3 linked regions of the Lytechinus pictus genome follow. The protein of the gene in region 3 purifies or fractionates together with the protein of the main gene of each other region. This does not show direct contact. Links are inferred from orthologs where the notes say so. Each region holds a gene or a part of one and is shown on either strand. Other genes may lie near its edges.

Region 1 (7,503 bases), on a different chromosome or scaffold from region 3:
AATCAATGTTTCTTTAAAAAAAAACCGCACCCCAAACCCCAAATAACACCCCTAAATTCATTAAAAAAAAATATATGAACGATAATTTTCTTGGAGTATTCGCAATTTGTCCGAAAATTATTCTTATTGTCCTCGTCCTTAAATTTACCACTCGTGACGTTGTCCTAAATGTCTCCGGTTCTGTCCTAATACGATCTGCATGCTGTCCGCGCCGAACGCCGACAAATTGATTTAGATAATCTTGTCACAGGACAGTTCCAGGAATGTCCTACGACAATACGCAGACAGTCCTGATCGTGTCCTAGGACAAGATCATTTGCATAATCTTTTACGGAATTTGGTTGCCGACAGCATGCCGAAATGACAAAAGTAGCTTCCGCAACCCTTCCTGGTCTTGTCCGCGCCCTAGTGGAAAACCGCCTTAAAAAAGCAAGCTGTGTGTCTCGAACAATTAAATGTGAGCGCGAAGCACGAGCTTAATTTTTTGTATATTGACATGATAAAGGAGCATTTTGACAAATTTTGGAAAGAATTTCCAAAGAGGATAGGTATCTCACAAATCAAACAATGCGAGTGCGCAGCGCGAGCTGGAAACTTTTATATAACAATTTGTGTAAATCAAACAAAATAATGAAAGCTTGAGGTGCGAGCTAAAACATTGTGTGCAAATTGATTTCAGAACTGGATATATGAAATGTCATTTAATTCTCTTGAATGGGATTCATTACAAAGGCAATGCGAGCGCGAAGCGCGAGCCACTTCCATTCACGAGTGGATACCATGCGCGACCATGGGGTCTCGAAAAGCACCCTAAACACGTAATTTCCATATTCTGAAAATGCGCCCCTTATACGAACCAAAAGTCCAGTTTTCTGTCTTATAATTTACTTATTTTTTTACTTATTTACTTATAATTTTAAAAAAAAGAAGAAAAGAAAGGAGAAAAACAACGTAAAGGAAAACAAGTACAGGAATGTTTTATTGTTACGGGTCCTTCGGTCGTCGGCTTTACCTTATTTGGTTTAGTACGACCCCACCTTCTACACCTCGCGCAAATCGTGACTCTAAATACGAAGTGTTGGGGCAAAAAGGACATCCTTTATAAAACATTTTAATTTTGTTTTATCATCCCCGCGAATTCGACCCTAAACACGTAATTTTCCTAGCGAAATAGATACCCTTTTTTCATTATTTTTGTGTTTTTGACACCCTTATCACGTTACGTACATAACGTGCCCTATCGTGAAAAAGACATCCTTTTTACGTGTTTTTTTTTTGGTCGCGCATGGTATCCACTCGTCAATGTAAGTGCCCCCCCCCCCCGCGGGGTTCAAACAAGGACAGAAAATGAGCTATGCCTATATTATACGAATCGCTTCATATTTATCCTCCTAAACATTCAGAATCCATGTCATATTCATCATAATCTCTAGATTTATAGAGAAAAAAACAGCAAAAATATTGCTCTACAATTCTAAAAAGAAGGGTATATACATGTATATATTATTTTAATTATACGAACCAAAAGTCCAGTTTTCTGTCTTATAATTTACTGTGAAAATCACAAGAATTTGATTTAAAAAAAAATAGGTAGGCCTGTACAATTTTTCTTTTAATTAAAAAAGAAACAAAAATAGAATGGACAAGAAAGGAAGAATATAAAAGAGAAAAGAAAAATATATTTAAAAAAAAAAGAAGAAAAGAAAGGAGAAAAACAACGTAAAGGAAAAGGAAAAGTATTTAAACAAGGACAAAAAAATGAGCTATATGCCTGTATTGTCTTGAAAATGATTTTTTTTTTAAATAAGATGACTGAGACACGTACTGCACTGGGCCATGTTAAACCAAGAAAAGAATATAAACCAACAAAATTCTACTTTTAGTTAACGACAGATCGACCGACTGAAATGTGGATGAAAATATTTTCTGATTCTCCCTTCTTTTCCCCCTTTTCGCGAAAGGTGCATGGATCCTCCCCTGTATAACATACCCCCACGACTCTCCCTCCTTCCACCCCCCCCCCTTTGGCGAAAGCTGGATACTCCCCTGTACCCCCTCCCCCGTATCCACAAACATTATCCCAGCTGCCCGTATCCTCGTATCCACGTATCCGCGTATCTTCGTATCCATGTATCCAGTTATCAGTACGGGAGTAGTATCCACGTATCCGCGTATCCACGTATCCTCGTATCCATGTATCCAGTTATCAGTACGGTAGTAGTATCCACGTATCCGCGTATCCACGTATCTTCGTATCCATGTATCCATTTATCAGTACGGTAGTAGTATCCACGTATCCCAGTATCCACGTATCCTCGTATCCATGTGTATCCACGTATCTTAGTATCCATGTATCCGCTTTTATCTCAAAAACGTAATTTCTAAATAAAAAGTTAACAAGTACCGGTACGTCGTATCCGTTGTTTTCTCGTTTTAAAATCTAGAGATTTTTGTAATCGATTCATGACATTGGATTCTAAAGGTAAGCCTAATTATGTTATCTTACTTCTTAGAAATGAGCATGAAATATGGACAACACATCATACAAAGATACATGATAAGAGCCATTACCATTACTAACGCATGCAATTCCTATACACACATTTCCAATGGGAATATCACAATTTCGTGATACAATCATATGGATTGCCCAGGAGCTAAATCCCCAGCCAGATCATCTGATTGGACTTTTTTTTTAGAGCGGTTAGCCAATAGTTTACTATAAGTTTACTCACTCATTCAATTAACAGTCATGAAGCCCATGCTGTGGAAAAAACTATAACTATTTTTATAGATATAAATAGACCTGTAGTGTAGGTACATGATAAAAAGTCAAAACAAAAAGAATCATACCCAGACATCAAGCTTTACGTCTTTCACTGTTCCAGTGCCACTGTAAATATCCACACTCAGCTGATCGAGAGTCAATTTCTCCTCCAAGAAATTGCCGACATATCGCTGAAGTAAATACCTGCATGCCTTTTTCTTTATGTAATCAGGCCAAGGGAAGTACCACGGCATTTTACTCGATGAACTTCATTCAAAAAACGAAGAAAATAAGGCAGAAACCGCTAATGATCGATGTTTGGGATTTCCCCATGAGTTCGTTCACGTCATTCGGCCATTTTCTATGTTTATCAATTTGTTATGATTTTCATTTTCGCCAAGAGAGGGCGTTTACATTTTCGTCTCGCTTTAGCTTTGTTTCCATTACTTATTTTTCCACGCAGGGAGGGTGACGTTTTCAATACTATTGTGTGTCATTAATTCAGGCTCGCGCACAAATCGTAAGCATTTGAGTTTTTTTCAAAAAAGAGAAGAAAAAGTTCATGCGAACTCAAGGACACACTCGCGCGAAGTCATCGTGAAAATTCGGCTAACTCCATTATTGTCAGGGTTCAGCAGGCAGATACGAAACGTGCAAGAGAACGTCGTTATGCGCATGTCTGTTTCTACAATGAAGCGCTTTTCGCCTGCCCTGGATGTCTAATTAAAGTGGTTCTTGCTTAGCTACTAAAAGTGGCTGCATGACCCAAAGTTATCAGAAGTTAGTTCCATCTCACCTGAGAAAGCTCCCAGTTGCTCCTGATTAGCAGCACGCGAGTTCATTTACTTTCCTCAACTTTTCTCAGTAGCCACCCGCCCACCAGATCTCGAAACGATCCGCAAGTCCAACTCTCGATTTACTCGTTAGTATCAGGCATCCAACTCTGCTCTCTTGCCCACGCATTCTCTAATTTCCCTCTACTTGGTATCAAACCTGTCTTTCATCACAGCACGTTTTCTCCTCGTCCTTTACTTTTATTCTTCTCTCTTCCTTCGGATCTATCTGCCCTGCCGTCCGTCTTTTAGTTGACTTTCAAACTCAACCCTTTTCGCGACGAGGCGGAAAAGAGTAACGTCAAGAGCAAATATACACTCGGGGTCAGCATCTGACTACTCTTTACTGCTGCTAAATTATTTTGATCAAACAGTGCTCCACTGAGTGTGGAGTTCTAAAGTCTAACTCCCATCATTTTTTTTTTAAACTTTGATTATTTATTCTCAAATAAAGGCAAGGCATGATAGGAATGATCAAATATTAATAGGCTGTTTGCTGAACACAAAATATCATCTCCTTTCATTCTGATTTCATTCTCGATCGTCAGGTATTCTTCGTCTGAAAAAAAGGGGGACAGTATCATAATGGAATCGGCGCCGACGATCACGATGACCACAGGAGCCCGCCAGAGATCTTTTAAATGTGAGCCTGCAGATTGTGACGCCAACGGGAATGTGCCGTTCATGAAATCGGCGAACATGACTTTGTCTCCGTTAGTGAAAGATGGGAAGGGTTTCACGACGAACGGTCATTTAATTCATGCAGAGTACTGTGAAAATGGAGACAGTAAGTACTCCGGAGGCAGGCTCGTGAACGGAACGGCATCCAATGGCAGCATCCCGCATCACGCGGTAAACGGGGAAACCCCGAGGAAAGCACCACCATCGTCGTCATCGTCAACTATCTCGTCATCGACGACGAAACACGGGTTTCCGGTCAGCGTCAAACTCTTGATGACGGCTGCGTCCGGTGTCGTCTTCGGCTTCGCGATGGAGAAAGGAAGGGGTAAGTCGATTTTTATTGAAACATAAAATATTGAATCATGAAAAGAATAACTTAAACAAGAAAAATATGAATTACATGTTCGTGCATATGAGATCCCAATGGGCAATATTATACCTTTGGGAATGTTGTCACGCCTGTGTCGAAATGGTGCACTGATATTGAGGGCTGAGATTTGACGACTACATTTTCTCTGGAGAGCGTGCATGCGAAGGTAGTGAGTAATAAAGATTGGCAAAAAAACCCCACATTTATCAAGTTATCATAGATTTGGCATGTGAAACGTAAAATCGGCCAAAACATTCAAGGAAATCTGATGAAAATCATGTTTTTCAAACAAGAGTTATTGAAATATAATGAGTTTTACTTTATGTGGGAGGGCTCCAGTCCCCCACACCAATAATGTATGTTGATGTTTAATTAGGTTAATTAAGAGGGATGTTCTAGATTACATTCACGGAACACGATGGTTCTTTGATTAACACAGAGATGGAATCTAAATTTATATTTCCATTGCACCTATGAACAATATACATGTGAACGTATGAGAGCAGATAATCTGCGCCAAATATGTATATATATAAAAATTATTTGCATGTAAATACTATCATTTTACAGTTAACAATATTTTACATAACGTGAAGAATGGGGGCCAATAAAACATAGTCAGATATGACTACAGACACACCGTTCAGATCTCACGGACATCAACGCCCAACACTCTTTAAAAAATAGTAAACTTGACTAGATTAGTATAGTCAGCAAGGTGTATCCGAAATTACTTTGTTGTAGTAAAATGAGACTATATAGCATCGATCCAGCTGACTCTTTTACAGCTAATCACTTTTAAGTGATTTGTTTTAAGAGTTGCAGCACGATCCCTGAACACTGATTCCAAGTCAATCAAACAACCCTTCCGCAACCCTTCATGTTTACTGATATAATTATTTTGCTGTAACCCTGAATCCCAAGGGCACTATACGATTGCAGTCAAAATTGACACCATTCCATTTTATGAATGAATTAAAGGTTAATGTGACCAGAATATCCCCGCTGGAACGAATACAATGTGATCACATGTGCGTTCACATAGTGAACTATGTGAAAATATTATTCACACTAGCTGTTAAAATTCTCAAATTCAACAATGCATGTGAAGCTATATTTTCAATCTGTGGACAGCTCGAGTGTGAGCGTGTTCACACAGTCGACTGTATGTTTGAATATGTGATTAACACTGTTGAAATGCTCAAATTAAACAGTGTGAAGGTGAGTTCACATTGTGTTCCACGCTATGCACTCTCTGTGATACACACACCGTGTTCTACCAAGTAGGGATGGTATAATAATGTATATCAATTTTTGACCTTAGAATCATTGCGAATTTATTTCTGGTTTGAATCGTTGAATAGTCGAATCATTTTCATTTCAAGAGTATAAATAATTTTATTCGATCTGTGTCTATTTCGACCATACACTCTGAAGGATTACATGAGAAAAACCGATATATTGGTGAATATGCACGTGTCCACCCCCAAAATTGTAAGAATCAGTCAAACTTCTGTTACGTTTTAACAATTATCATTCGGTAATATTGACCTTCATATTGTGTTTTCGTCGGACACATTCACGAATAGATCGGATGTTTTGACAGATCCTTTAAAGATTGCATTAAATAATGAAGTCCTGTGTGTTTATATATATTTTGCTTGTACAAAAGCTGTTAATTATTCGTTTCATAAATTTATGAGCATACAAAAGATCTCATTTCTTGTTTGGTTATGAGATTTATTGAAATACATAAAATATGCATTGAAAATTGTACTATCTTCAGTTATATCAGAATTTAATTTTTATTCGGTTTTCTTTTTTTGTATTGCTGAAGATTTTATGTTCGAAATTATCTAACCCAAAAACAAGGATTGTGAAAACATTTCTTGAGCCTTATGTTTCTTCACTCGGTGATATGTGCATATTATGATTGATATAAATTTTACTAAAACTTAAAATAAATTGATGTCAAATCGGTGATTTTGAAGAGACGGGGAGGGAGCGGGGAGAAGGAGAGGCAAGGGAGAGGGAGGTACATAGAGTGGGAAGAAAAAAGAGATTGGAGGGGGGGGGCCCACTTCTAAGTAAAACCTCAGGACTGTGAATTTTCTATCCAATGCCACTATATTTTGTGTTGTTCTCATTTGCTTGATATTCAAAGATTTAATCGTTTGTTGGGATAGGATCTATGTGTGTTTAGTTCATAAAATATCGTTATTTCATTCATTAAAATTACAGATATTTATTGAATCCGAAAAGTTTACAATCAAATGAGATTAGATAAAATATATAAATATACATCATCCGATTGTGGATTTTTTTTACAGTAGAAAGTAAATGGAACCAATATTAAACTCTTGAACACAAAATATTTGTTTAGAATCGTCTGCATAAATAAAAGGAATGCTCCGGGCCAAAACATACATTTGACATAAAAAGGTACAGTCAAATAACTAAAACAATGAAAATTTCATCCAAATCGGATGGAAAACAAGGGAGTTGTTTGAAATGTGAAATTGTGCACCATTTCAATAAACTGATTTTATGCAGGTCTTCGTGAATATGTAAAGAAATAAATAATGATGTCATAATCGCATTTTCTATGAAATATTTAAGAAAAAACATTTTTTCCTCGTAACCGAATAAGTTACAGCAGTGATGATACACATGAAATGAGTTGCAAATCCTATTTTTACATTTCTGTAGTAGATAATGGAAATTATTACATTTTATCATAATACAAAGAAGTAGGCAAATATAATATAAATTTGAAATGTCCCGTCCGCTGCAAATTTAACGTGATCCGAAAAAATCACAACTTAAGTTGAATTAGGAGTTACAAGCCTTGC
Region 2 (7,405 bases), on a different chromosome or scaffold from region 3:
TGTGAGGAAAGATTGTTGAATATGAGTTATGACGATGTTCGAGAATCGTGATATGATTGATAATCCATGTTTTATTTATTTTTAGACACAAGTGAAGAGCATGCAGGGATCAAAATAAATATGAATGTCATAGATCGAGCTCTAAATTTATATAAATTATTATTGGATGTTAAATATATTACGATATCATAAGATTTTATAGCCATACATGTACTAAAAATATTGGCAATGTCAGTAAAGTATTTTATGTTCATATGGAAATGTTAATACTGTCATTAATTTTATTCCATCTCTGGACGTCTCCGAGAAAAGAAGCACAATGCGCATGCGCATTCTATGACGTATTTTCCATTCATGAATTCAGAGCCCAAAGAGCACAAAAGAGCTTCAAATTGATGGGGAAAAATATCAAACGTAATTTTCTGTTTTGTCATGTAAAATGTTATCATATGGTGATATTACGATCATGAGAAGAGTTAATGCATATTGACAATGTTCGAGAATCAATCCTGACGTGATAATTTTTTTTAGACAAGTGCACTCACGTCGATCGTGATTTGATGTCCGTCATTCAAAATTAAAATGTAATACATGTTTCACATCAAGCTCTCAATTCATTTGAATTTAAAATGATTATCATATGCAAATTATTGTTAAAATATTACTATTAGAGGTCTAAATAATGTTCTATGGTCATGATATTAATATTGCGCGCTAATGCAGTTTCGCACTGGTCGATTACCAGCATACCTCACCACCAGTAACTGTTCACAAATGTCCTAGCAAGTCTCCCAGTCACATTTCGAGGTCAATATACCCACCGCTTTTCCAATTATTGTGATCAGGAACGGCTGCATTTTGGCTATGCTCTTAACATCGTCGTGCGAATCCTCAGTCATGCATCCCTTCGCTTGGATTCGCCGTGCACCATAATGTTGATATGGACTGAAGTTAGTAACCAAATCATGTGAACATGCTGCAAACAAACTGCCGGCATGCCGCAGCACGCAGGCGAGTCTTTTGGTCGCTAACTTCAGTAGTGACAGTACCATTATCAACATAACGGCCACTCACACGTATTGTGAGGTTAGTATTAGTATACTAACCTCGCACCATGAACCGCGTTTGGCAGTGGATTTCGAACTAGTGGGTCGCGCGTGCTGGGATCTCACTTCTGTTGTCCACAACACACGACTTCTAGTTCTATGGCTTGATTTTTCTGTGCGCGGCGGCATGTAATGAACCCTTGGGTGCATAACGGCGAGCGGCGAAGCCTAGTGAAGCGATGTTGGCGTTACTGATCGCGATATCCGGAAAAGCAGTCGGTATATTGACCTTGGAATGCGACCGAGACTGAGTGAGAGACTTGCTAATATCTAGTATGGCCTAAGAAAGGGATATGACATTTGCCACTAACACATGCATGCATGATTTGTGAACAATTTTTTAGATTCTACTGCCTTATAAAAATGGTAATCGTCCGGTGCGAAACTGCATTAGCACCTTAATCGTGTTAATATTGTTCATGAAACTGAAAGCGAGGTTTACTTTTACGTACGTTGATCGCGTCAATTTTCTGGTTTGATTAAAATAAAAAGCACAGTACTACCGGTATACTGCGCATGCGCAATTGATGGCGACGACTCCATTCATGAATTCATCGACAAGTAAGTCCAAGTCGAATTCTGATTGAAATAAAGTTCAATTCAAATTAGATCTAGGACATGTAGGAGTCTAGGACCCAATTCATAATTACACAGTTTCATTTTGGGGGAAACATAAATCAAGTAGTAGGCCTACCGTAAGGGCACTAGTATTCAACCCGTTTGGAGAGTTTCCTCAAATATATAGAAATATAGAATTTACCTGAATTTCAGACCCGTCTTATTTCCAAGAGCAAATGCTGGTTATTCTTTTTCCGTTATTTTTTTCTTCAACCAGTTGACTGTGTGCACGGGCGATCGAATTTTACGGCGACGGATTTTGGTACTAGTATTCAACCCGTCGGCACTAGTATTCAACCTAGCGATGAAAGATGGCCCTGTCTCTCAATCTGCCCTTGTCCCATCCGACTATGGACTAGACCATTTGAGATGAGACCAAACAGGGAATTAATCAAAGCCAGAGATTTACATAGATCTAGATCTAATTTAGCAATCTAAACCCTTTTGAATTTGAGATTTGCTATCAATCCTCACTAGGTTGAATACTAGTACCATTCAGTGCAAAAGGCCATCGCCGCATAATTCGATCCTCCGCGCATACAGTCGACAGATTGACAAAGAAAATATCGACAACAGATTACCCTGGAAAGAACAAAGGTGTGAAATTAAGATAAATTCCCTAGGCTAGGGCCTATTTGAATTTCTAAATATTTTGGGGAATATGTCAAAATCTTTGAATTATGCCGGGTTGAATACTAGTACCCATACGGTACTTAAGTTAGACATTACCGTTTATTTTGATGATTGTGTGAACCAAACGAAACGGCTGGCCGACGTTTGATCTTCTTTTTTTTTTCGATGCACCGAGTAGGCCTATTGCAAAATCTGCACCGGCGTTCGATGACATCGATCGAACACCGATTTTAAAATCGATTCGACTCAGGCTTAATTTTAACTACCAATTTTTAGCACCCCATTACCTTCACCGTCGTCTTCATCATAAGCAAATGTCAGCAAACTGGATCCTTGCTTTTTCTTCTCGGACTTTTCCTTCTTTTTGTTGGACTTTTCTTTTTCAAGTTGTTTGATTTGTGTGTGGTAATCCGTCTCCAAAAACGGAATTTGATTTCCTTTTGTGCTCACTGGTTCAGCTCTTTCCTCATCACTGTCACTTGTCCTACCCCTCTGCCGAATATTACGTTTCTTCTTCATCATCTTGATACTTTATTGGCCGAAAATGGGGGATTTAAGTCCTCAGACCCACAAGTACAACATGCCCGAAAATGAAATCAAGCAGTCGATTTTGTGTACAAAAATGAATGACGAAGTTTGCACGTTAGTTTTGTACATGATTTTGCTGATGCCAAATATGTATAGTCAATTCAGCAGCAGTATTATTTCCGTGAATATTATACAAGCACAATTCATTGCGGTAGCAGCGAATAGCTAGGATGAGCCAACCTCATCTCCACATACCGCGCTAGGTAATGATTTTCATTATGTACTTACTTGAATGTGAATATTATAAAAAGAGAAAATTGTTGATAAAGAAATGCTGCTATTGAAATAGACCTATATCAAACTATGCAAATCCAAATTATCTATGCAAAGGGCAAATAATCTATTATCCTGATCAAATTATATCACTTTATATTGCAAACTCAGTTTGAATTCATCATTCCATATTATTTTTAAATCATTAGGCCTATATTAATAAATAATAAAATAATAATATGAACATTTGTAATGCGCCGGTATCCATCATAAAAAGATGCTCATGGCGCAATAAAGAAAAGAAAAGAAAAGAAAAGGAAAAAGAAAAAGAAAGGAAGGAAGAAAGAAAACCTACTAAAAAGAGGGGTAGAATAACAATTACCTAAAAGCTTGCGTGAATAACCAGGTTTTAAGAGAACTTTTGAAAGTGATGAGACAAGAAATATTGCGGATTTCTATTGGCAGTTTATTCCATAGGAAAGGCCCAGCATGTTGAAATGATCGATCCCCCCATGAATTATGAGATTGTGGTACAGCGAGTAAGAAAGAACTAGAAGACCTAAGGTTGCGAGAGGGATTGTATGGAGTAATCAAAGAAGAGTTGTATATTGTATTTGTTATTGTTATTGAAAGTGTTTTGGATTTGAAATATGTTATCTGCTGTTTGTATTTTGTTTGGTATTATTGATGATTTCATGCAAATTTTTCTTTAAAGTCTGAATAGATTGAAGCTTGAAACGTGTGTGGAAAAACCTGCACGTTTTGACAGTGGATAATTATTTTTGATATTTTCCATGCAGGATTGTCACGCTTTCAAGCTTTGCGTTTGTGACGACCCTTGCAACCATTTTATTCATTGGGTAACAGAAAATACCGCTTAGATTGTTTATATATAGTACATTTGATGATTTAATTTGTTCATTATCTGTGATGTCGAATTCTAGATATGTATTTTCTTTTCGAGATCTTTGTTATGAAAAATGTTGCAAAACCAATAATTAATAAGGTTCTGTATAGGGCATGCCATTTCAATGATTAGATATCACTTTATTGAAATCACAATAAAGGAGAGAATATACACATAGCATAAAAAGATTAAGATAAGGGCCTAGCTCATGAATCATTACTGTCAATGCAGGGCAGTAGTATAAGCATGATACAGTATTGATAACAAAAATGGGGGAAGGACCGGAGATGATACCCCCGGGGATACCCCCCCCCCCCCTCCAAAAAAAAAAAAGAGAGAAGAAGTTTGGGCCGAATTTCCATATGACCCATTTGAAACGAATTCACTCTGTTGTTAATGACGATTTCCATCCATCTATCTATCTATCTATCTATCTATCTATCTATCTATCTATCTATCTATCTATCTATCTATCTATCTGTCTACTTTCTTTCTTTCTATATATCTACCTATCTTCATATATATCTATCCATTTGTTAAGGCATGGGTAGAATATTCATCAGTGATAAATATTCTACTTTCCTCTCTGTGAAATATCGCCCTCTATAGAGAGCGTAGAAAATGAAATTGTATCAACTGGGGGAACAGAAATAAACGTGCAAAACACATGAGATGTTCTTTCGAAGTTTGGAGATACATGAGGGAGAAAAGAAGAACAAAAAAAGTTATAATGGTTCATTATGATTTAATTTTCTGATTATCATGTCAAAATCTATCGCAAAATGGATTTTTACTTCAAACAGATTAACATTTTCGCTCGCTCGCAACTTTTCAGAAATGTTACCTCATACACCATGTTGTCAAATTATCTTGGCCCATTTACTTGAGCACATTGTGCAGCCTTGATAATTTTATGGCCAAAAAACAAACGCGACGATTACTACTTATTTGCAAACATTTGACCATGCATTTTACAACTGTATTTGCTTGTATACACTGAACATGCTGAAACAAATCGAGGTCGCTTTCCATTTTTACAATCAACCGTCTGAGCATGTGGAATGAAAGCTCATCTCCCAAATTCAAAAATTTTCCTGAGTTGAAAATGAAATGTTTGGCATTTCAAACCCGTACATTACCACGACATCAATTTGTTCTAAACCGAATGACTCAAGACTCACTCGTTGATCAAAGTTTCAATCAAGGTCAACCCAATCGGCGACACGACATTTGCTCCTGCGACATTTGCTCCGGTCCATCTCAGGAGAGGGCATATAGGGTTCGAGTTAGGATTGCAGTAGTTTCTCGGTTCAGAATAATGTAATAATAATGATTAGGGTTTAATTAGTTTGGGAGGTTGTTTCATGTTTGGCTTAACGTGCAGATTTTCCATCGGAACAATGGTCGCCGGAGCAAATGTCGCCAGAGCAAATGTCCAAATGTCATGGAACCGTTCAGACCCCCTCCCCTTCTCTTCACTCCTCATCCACTTTGAACAAGTGGAAGGGGGCAGTTCTTATATCATTATCCTGTTCAATAATCGTCCGTCCACGTTTGACCTTTCACATTGATTTTATATTTTTACCACACCATTCCTTCTTCTCCCCTTCTTTTTAGAGGGGGGAGGGGGTAGCGGCATTTGTCCATTGGACAGGACCCCTGGACACTGAAACAACACGTGGAAGGCGTAAACCGTATTTGTACATCATAAACTAACCATGAATTGACCATGAAAACGGTTTGAATTACCCCCATGAATAGAAGAACAAAGACGTCCTAATGACCCCGACTGCGCTCACTAGAATTTATATTATCTGATTAAAATATTAATGGTTTGTTTCTTATTTCTCCAAGGGTTTATTCACGTTTTTGTAGTTATTATGGTTTATTGCAACAAAATTACTTGGTAATACGTTAAGCATGTCCAGGAACAAAGTAGGCCTACGATCTTTCACTTCAGTCGTAAAAGCAACTTTGTTCGAAAACGGTTTCCTGCTTTCATTCCCCCTTTCTTTTTTTTTCTTTCTTTCTTTCCTTTTTTTTTTTTTTTTTTTGGGGGGGGGTTAAGAACAATTCTTATAGGCTTATCTCATTTAACCCATCTTGAATATTGCCACCAGTAGGCCTAACCTTTCAGAAAAGGGGAAACAATTTTCCCCAAAGTTTAAATCTGAATAAATACCTGCATGCATTTATCATGCCTTGGAGAAAAAGGGAATGCTCATTTAGCGCGCTGTGGATAATTAATAAGTGAAATGACACTATCTTCATAAGTCCCTTTATATTGGAAACTTTAAAATTCAGCTATAGAATATACCAGACTCTTAGCTGTCTCTGAAGTATTGGTATTATGAGTTTAGGGAGTATAGGCCAACTGACATTTGGAGTTTCTTTCCTATGGCTTTCATTTGAAAATCCTCATGGACTACTATTCTATTCTGGATTCACTTCTGGTTTATACCTCGACATCTGAAAATAAAACACCGGGAAAATAAAAGTCAGGTAGTAATTGGATGGAGTAATAAATCATTGGCTATTATATGTCAATATCTGAGTCTTTATCACCGCTGATGTGTCCAACGACCTACCAGTCTATTCCTCGTAAAATGGAGGTATTTTTTGTTTGCTTTCTTTGGAAAGCAATATCAACCCACTTGTTTCAATGCACGACTCTCCTTCAGACTTCCTCGTAATAATAATAATACACGGTGGAGGCATGGAGCTATGTAATAGCTCCATGGTGGAGGTATGGGTAATGCACTGCAGCAGCGGCATGACGAGTAGTTTGGACGAGAGAGTGAATCGAACGAGCGCAAAATAATATTTGGAAGAACAGAAATATCTTCCAAGACTTGCACATGTCAAAAATCAAGTAGTTCATAGATTCAAGGAACCGTGATGGAAAATACAGTAAAAAGATTGATAAAACATGAATACAGGCCTATAGGCAGTAACAAATTTATAAGAATTGCACCCCCCCCCCCAGCGAGTCGCATGGAACTGGAAAGCTAAATGAAATAATATCCTGTAATAAATCCTGTAAAACTAAGGAATAAAACCTCCATTCCAAACATGTTTCTGAAATATAGCCTGTTGTACATACAGAAATAATGATTTTCCATATGATTGTTTACTAATTTGAATAATTTTGATTTGATTTGATTTATTTATTTACCAACAATATTCACATATGGCATAACAGTTACAAATGTATAAAAATATCAATGTTTTCACTGTATTTTTATACATAGGCCACAGCGTATTATCTTGTATTTATTGTTTTGATAACGTTTTATATTACGTAAATTAATCAAATGAGAATGGAATCAAAGCAACGATC
Region 3 (7,598 bases):
AGTATAAATGGCAGGAACCATCAAGAAACAGTAAAAGTCAACTCTGCCTACAAAGTATACATGTACTTTGCATACATGTTTAATAGTTAAATAATTAACTACATATAAGTTGATGGACTTTCATTTGAAAAAAATTTAGTTTAACCTTTAGTTTAACTTCTCATAATTGAATGCAAAGTGGCCAATTTAGCCATTGAGAAGTTCAGTGTTGTAGCCAATGCTACACATATTGGCTTTCTCTACAACAACTGGTTTCCACTTGCACCTTTAACACTAGTGTGTTGTAGGCAAGGCATAGCCTGGATCCTTAAAGGACAAGTCCACCCCAACAAAAAGTTTATTTGAATAAAAAGAGAAAAATCCAACAAGCATAACACTGAAAATTTCATCAAAATCTGATGTAAAATAAGAAAGTTATGACATTTTAAAAATTTTCGCTTAATTTCACAAAAAGTTATATGCACATATATCCTGGCTGGTATGCAAATGAGGAGACTGTGACGTCATCCACTCACTATTTCTTTTGTATTTTATTATATGAAATATTATAATTTTCTCCTCATTGTCAAGTGATACAACAATTAATTCCTCCCTGAACATGTGTAATTAGCATTGTTTAATACTATATGGTTCAGTCAAGTTGGTCCTTATTGTCAAATCTATAAAAAATGAAATATTGTATAATTCAAACAATAAAAAACAAAAGAAATAGTGAGTGATGGACATCATCGACTGACTCACCAAGTTGTGCATATCACTGTTTTGTGAAAAATAAGGAAAAACTGATAAATATTTTTGCAGATTAGGTGGTCGATAAGGGGTAGTTCCAACCATACATGCCTTTGTTCGTTTGTCAACAAACGGTATACCAAAGTCTATAGATCTACAATGAAAAGACTGAACATATTGCCGACTTGCATGACACTTTGCATTGATTTGCTAGTAAAATAGTTTGAGTGCCTCATCTTTTCCATGATGTAGTGTCAATTGTGCACCCTCTTAAGGTGAAAAATTCCTATATCGCTTTGACAGTTAAATGGCTCTCGTCAACATCAAGAAAAATCATTTGGAAAAATCAAGAGAAGGATGAAAAAGCGGGAAAGTGACTTCATATTGTTCGGTAAGTTTATAGTTTAAATCTATTAATGTAGTGATTAGGCATTGGAATTTCACACAATCCCATGGACGTGTTACATGCGTTGTGCCTGTGATTTTCTATGCGCAGCGCATGTTGTTTCCATGGGTGATTCAATGACTGAACATGAGTGAATGAGGCCACTGATGCAGGCCACTGATGCAGCATGCACTAAACATACCCTGTGTTTGGTAGTGGTACAGTATATTCGAGTGCGGAGTGCGGACATATCAGTGTTCGCATTTCAGACCATTGAGATCTAGATCTAGGGGACTTTTCTTTTTTTCCTCATTTGGGGCGTTGCAAGAAACTTGCGATCAATTGCAAGTCTATTTTCGTTCCCGAAATCAATCATACGCCATGCAATTAATTGATTGCTCATCTGCTCCATGAAACAAGGAGTGTAATCTGATTTGTTAAAGCTAAATGAACGTAGTTGCAGTAAAACACTGATTTCGTGAGAAAGTCTGTAAAACCAAGGTAAAGTATTGATATATCATCGTGGATCTAGATCTGGTACAGTTACATAAACTGAACTTTGTGGAATCATAATATCTAGCTAAAAAAATGATCACACTGAAGATCGCCGACACAGATAGGCACACGTGGGACAGTGTATTATTATTGCTGGAATAAAGACCCGAAGGAAGTGACCGAATCCGCGCTTATTTTGCTTATTTCTCAGCAATTACACAATTTCTTCCAGAATCCTTTGGCACATATTTTTTATTCATACAAACAGACACTTTGGTGATCATTATATTAAATTCTGTAAAAAGTCATTTTGAGATCATTCCCACAACTGGAATTTATCTTTAAAAGTGATCAATCAACTGTAGAATTGCAACAGAATATTTGCGATTGCAATTATTTTCTTGCAACACCCCCTATTCATGTTCCGCACCTTCCCACAAAATACACACCCCTTTTCCCATGTTTTCTTTGTCGCGGATGCTGTCACTGTACTGTCCAATGGCAGGTATCTCCGCCCACCCCCCCTCCATCAATCATCTAAAAACATGACACTATTTTCTTGACTCTGAGTTTTAATGTCACAATTTTTAGATCTTGATTCTAGACTAGACCTATAGTCATCCCTAGCCAGGAGCTGCCATGGGCAGAAATCCCAGGGGGGACGTGTCCCCCCTACTCAAAATAGTAGGGGGACACAATATTATCAAATGTCCCCCCTACTAAGTACTATTTGTGGTCTTTTATGATGGTAAGAAATACATCATTAAAAATCGAAATAAAACATGTATTTTAGGACGAGATGACCTTACTTTTGGGATGATACCTTTTTTTTTTTTGCTTGTCAAATTTTCCAGCCCTGCCTTGTCCCCCCTACCTTTTGGGAAAGATTTCCGCCCCTGGCCAGGAGGCTCCTAATGTTAGAGAGTAAAAATCATTCACTAACATATTGTAAGCTCACGTTATCGTTTAATAATAGTGAATTATTTTACTCCCTAAAAATTAAAATAGGCGGCTCTAACGTTAAAAGAGTCTAATCATCTCCAGAGTCCAGACTCCATTTATGATTTTGATTTTTTTTTTGTCAGAATATTTCTCGTGTTTCTTACCAATGTTTACTCTCTCTATTCCCATTCCTTTCTCCTTCGGTTAATACAACTTCTCCGTCTGTGGTTTTTAGCAAACTGTCTCCAGATTCTGCCATATTTGTAGAAATTGTAGACCTATACGGAACATCGTTGGTAGCACCTGAACCAAAATACGTCGCAATATATGCAATCTAGCGAAAATCAGACAATCGTGATCGGGGCCGCGCTGGGCCCGGGTTTTGGAAAGGACCGTTCGTTAATAACTCGCACAGGCCACAGCTTTTCCGTATGTTCGCCAAATTTACGGTACCGTACTAATGAATATTCATGATTGACGTCATGTACCTGTCAATGGATGTCATGTAAACTCTCGGTAAACCAAAACTCTCCACCTCCCTTTTCTTGATATTATAATTTTAATTCATTATTTTATTACATAAATGTTGGCTAGGATTCATTCCTTTTTCAATCAAACTAAGATTTTTTGGAAAGCTCACTGCACTCACGACTACAGGCATGTGGGGTCCATTATGGGGGCTCTCCTTCTAAGCGGGGAGGGTCGGCCTTCTCAACCCTGAAAATGTATATTTTTTATGCACATACACAAAAATGAATATTGTTTTGTGTATTAATATAAGTATGCAAGTTTGTATAGAATGATAATGAAATGAATCTTAGTTTCAAGCAAGCATAATTGTTATTTTTATTGTTTAAACACGCTGGATAAAAAAAAAAGATGCGTAGAAATAATCTAGATTCATAAAACTTTTTAATGGATTCCTATCTAGGCCTATATTTTATAGCAAAATAATGGTCGAAAGTTATAACATAATTATATCAGCTTGATTATGTATCTCTTATCACGCAGTTTTTAAGGGCTTTCGTCTTTTAATTATTTTCTTGTAAGAGTTAATTGGAGGCGGGGCTCTGTCATTGGAAATGGGCAAAACATATAGGCCTATGGAGCAAGATTTCTAGAATGTTGCAAGCGAGTGAAGCAAGCGAGCAAACATTTTGACGTTCTTTAATATGATAAGCATATTTTGTGTTAGATTCCAACAATTTGAAAAAATTATTTCACCCTTTTCCCATTTTTAAAAAAATCATTTTTGCTTTTGGTGATAGGAAATTTGGGGAGGGGACCTTGGAATATATTTGGACCTTCAAGACCGTATCATAAGCAAAATAATATATATGCTATTTTCACCAAATGACCCAAAACTCGGCACTTGGAACCCTATCAATAAGAGATTCAATGAAGGGGCATTTTTGTGCAAGATTAAATAGCCCCCCCCCCAAAAAAAAAAAAAACACACACACACACACTTGATACCTCTACTCCTGAAGAAAGGCCCCATTCAATGGAATGTCTCACTTTAGGCCCTTTGGTTACCGTGTCGTGGGTAAATGTACTAATTTCTACTAAAGTGCCCTAATTGATTCCTGCGTGGGTTCAAAAGTTTCACAAGATAAACTCAAAATTTCTTACACGGTCGTTACGCTCTCTCGCAGGCATATAACATACATTCATCTCTTTACTACAATATCAATAGTACTGTTATGTATTGTGTTGTACATGTAGGTACAACGCTCATGTTGACGGGCGAAAACTAAATTATTATTCTTGCCCTTTTCCACAGCGCTTTTGGGGTTTAAAATTCTAAATTTCATTTATGAAATAGTAGACTTTCTTTCGGTCTCTAAACTTATGTATATCATAATTGTCCCTTCGATGCAGGGTATCTTTTTAAGGTAAAAATAATGGTATAAGTTTCACTGATTAAAACGATTTTCTGGCTCGGTTGCTACGCCTCTCGCATCTAGGATGCCGTCACATTACCCCCCCCCCCTGCATGGGTTTCCATCATACTTAGGTGTGTACTATGCGTTTCAGTTTCACTTACGGTACGACTGTTATTATAAATTGAAATCGCCTGTAAAATTAAATGGAATTTAGCTTCTGCATATCCTTCTCCTGATCGGTTGATTCAATTACAGGTATATAGCAACCATCTCATTTAATAAAGACAATCGAACATCCTATCAAAAATTTGGATTATTGACCCTGATTAAGAATATTAACCGTCTTATTTGCTTGTGAATATATAGCGACCCTCTCATTAAATTATGACTAGCAACTCTCTTATTTGATTAATATTATCGACCATCTTATTCAATTACAATTATTGACCCTCTCATGTGATTATGAACAGCGGCCTTTATGAATGAAGGCCCCTTTTCCGATTACGACTATAGCGATCTTCAAGAATAGCGGGTGTAGAACCCCGTTTCAACACCGTCAAATAAGTCTAATGTACTCATTGCTATCTACTGAAGATAAAATTGAATGTTATCTTCAGTAGATAGCAAGGAGTATATATTCAGCCAACTGACCAGTTAGTTTCATTGGACCGCACGGCAATCATTAATTTTGCATGAACGTGATTTCAAAACAGTTTTTAGTATTGTACTTGTTTCGGACAAGGTGTTATGAAATTGGAAGTAATTACATCAAGCTACAAAATATTTACTCCTGATCTAAAAGTCATTCTTTTGAAGCCGATGCTACATGTAAGGGGGATTTAAAAGGGCAGAATATTATTTATTTAGATAAGATAAATATTATTATGTGATATGAATACCAGTCGGTGGCGGTGCGGCGGAGCTAAGTTAAAAGTGGGGGGCACAGGGGAAACGGGCACCTTTTCTTTCGAAAAGGGCACTATCTTAAAACAAAGAAAAAAAGACTTATCTACCCCCACTCACATGGCTTATGAAACTTAAGACACGCGGGATTATTCTTACAAGTGTTTTCCTTCATGAGTAGTTATACATATAAGGGGCACTGATTCAAGAAAGGGCACTTACAAGAAGGCAAGGGGGCACTCTTTAACACATAAAACGGGTCTTTCTCAGGTGAAAAGGGCAAAGAACACGTTCGTGAGGGGCAATTTTGGGTAAAAATGGGCACTAATGCGAGAAATGGCACTTGCTAACACATAAAACAGGTCCTTCTCAGGTGGAAAGGGCACAAAACATATTCAAGAGGTTTTTTTTTAATTGGCACTTATATTAAAGAGAAAGGGCACTTGGTAACACCTAAAATGTGTCCGCATGTGAAAGGGGCACAGTACATGTTTTTGAGGGGGCATTTTTCTCGCATAAAAAGGGCACTTTTTCAGTGCTTCAAAAAGTTGAGGGGGGCTGTGCCACAGTCCCGCTAGGATCGCCGCCCCTGGTACCAGTCCTCACTACACTTAGTAGAATATCCGAAATTATTTTCTTCATTTTCTTTCAAGCTCTTAAAAAAGTCAAAAATGTCATCTTCACAAAATTCATTATGCTGACATAGTGACAAAGTTCTTATAAAGTCGATGTAGAAAGATAAGTTATGTTCATATGTCAACGTATAAATTTCCAGAAGTTTACTTTATCATTTTACTCTCTATGATGTGACAACATCTAAGTCTCTAAAAGTCGACTTGGAGAAATGACTTATGTCGCCATGACGACCTATAAACCTTTTTGAAGTTTACTAAATTGCCATTGCGACATGTAACTGTCTAAAAGTCGACTTGGTAAGACGTCTCCATGGTAAGATGTATGATTTCGAAGTCGACATGGCAACATACTCAAATTATAGTTGGCAAATTGCCATGTAGTGCTTGGCACGATAAAATATAGACGGCACTTACAAGCTTCCGTAATTTTCTGTTTCTCTTCACTCCCTTTTTTGTGTGTTTGAGGCGATGTGTGGTACGAGATTTGAGTTGATTTCATTGTTTTCTTCTTCAATCATAACATTCATATGTAATACATGTTTCATTACATAACAAACATAATATATTGCTTAGTGTTTTTTGGCATGAATCATTAAAAAAATGAACTACATAAAAAGTCATTCGAAACAGATCTGATCTACTACCAAATAATTTCAACATATACAGTTTGCAGGAGGATTGTCATTGTTGCTTTGAACAAAAATGACAAGCCCGGATTAACACTCATTAAATTGATTAAAACATTTATAAAGCAGAATGGCAATATTTGTTTATAATTTTAATGATGAAGATGGAGATGGTGAGGATTAGGATGACGGTGACAATGGTGAAAATGAAGGCCATGATGATGACGATGGTCATTGGAGAGTGTTTGGTGATGATAAATCAAAGGAAGAGTGAAGAGAGATTGGTTAGAGTTTGAATGTGTGAGCGTGTGCGTGAGAGGGGAAAAGGAAGCCTTTCTGCTTATTATTGTTAGCGTTTTTATTTAATTCTTCTTTAGTTTGTTTGATTTTTCATTATTATTAAGGAGCATTTTTTCAGTGAGAATTTGCTTCCAGAGCTATGTCCTTCCGTGATAATGACAACCCCCGTAAATGCATGTGCAGCTGGGTGTATGTTTATGTCATATATTTTGTTAAGGGGACATGAATTTTATTTTGTTGATTTAATCATGTACGATGCGTTTCACTTTTCTTAGGGGGCAGAAAAGGTTAAAAATGTGTTTCAAGTATCAGATTTTCAGGGCAGGCTTTCACAAATTCTTGAATAAACCTTAAAACATTCATTGATTGAATCTTCCGAAAACTGACAGGCCAGATCACAATTCCTTCATTCTATCTTTCATGGCCCTTAGCTCCTAAAATCATTCAAAGCTTCCTTTTCCTGACAGTATATCTTAAATTATACATGACTGAATCGTTAAATTTCATGACTTTTGTCCAGCCGTTCTTGTCACCTATTTAAACTCAAACATGTTTGTTGGTTTTGGGGGACGAGTAATCAATATAATGCTTTTGGCGTAAACCTTTCAGATTGTACCGCCATACAATACTGTTTTGAATGAATTAAACCGATACCTGGTAACTTTACCGATATTTTGGCAATGTTAAAGTGAAATTC

Evidence for each region.
Region 1: the proteins of histone deacetylase 11-like (region 3) and autophagy-related protein 2 homolog B-like purify together in Homo sapiens (co-immunoprecipitation; 3 studies listed by BioGRID and IntAct, counting the BioPlex papers as one, with this or other methods). This does not show direct contact. The link is inferred for Lytechinus pictus from reciprocal best matches to the Homo sapiens genes HDAC11 and ATG2B.
Region 2: the proteins of histone deacetylase 11-like (region 3) and PAX3- and PAX7-binding protein 1-like purify together in Homo sapiens (co-immunoprecipitation; 3 studies listed by BioGRID and IntAct, counting the BioPlex papers as one, with this or other methods). This does not show direct contact. The link is inferred for Lytechinus pictus from reciprocal best matches to the Homo sapiens genes HDAC11 and PAXBP1.

The regions. Positions count from the first base shown.
Region 1 is NC_087251.1:38,311,758-38,319,260, reverse strand, and holds the start of autophagy-related protein 2 homolog B-like, read right to left. Parts: upstream 3,022-7,503; coding exon 2,854-3,021; intron 1-2,853. UniProt on the Homo sapiens protein: Lipid transfer protein required for both autophagosome formation and regulation of lipid droplet morphology and dispersion.
Region 2 is NC_087248.1:6,350,401-6,357,805, forward strand, and holds the start of PAX3- and PAX7-binding protein 1-like, read right to left. Parts: upstream 3,036-7,405; 5' UTR 2,880-3,035; coding exon 2,645-2,879; intron 1-2,644. UniProt on the Homo sapiens protein: Adapter protein linking the transcription factors PAX3 and PAX7 to the histone methylation machinery and involved in myogenesis.
Region 3 is NC_087247.1:25,632,819-25,640,416, forward strand, and holds the start of histone deacetylase 11-like, read right to left. Parts: upstream 3,011-7,598; 5' UTR 2,811-3,010; coding exon 2,716-2,810; intron 1-2,715. UniProt on the Homo sapiens protein: Responsible for the deacetylation of lysine residues on the N-terminal part of the core histones (H2A, H2B, H3 and H4).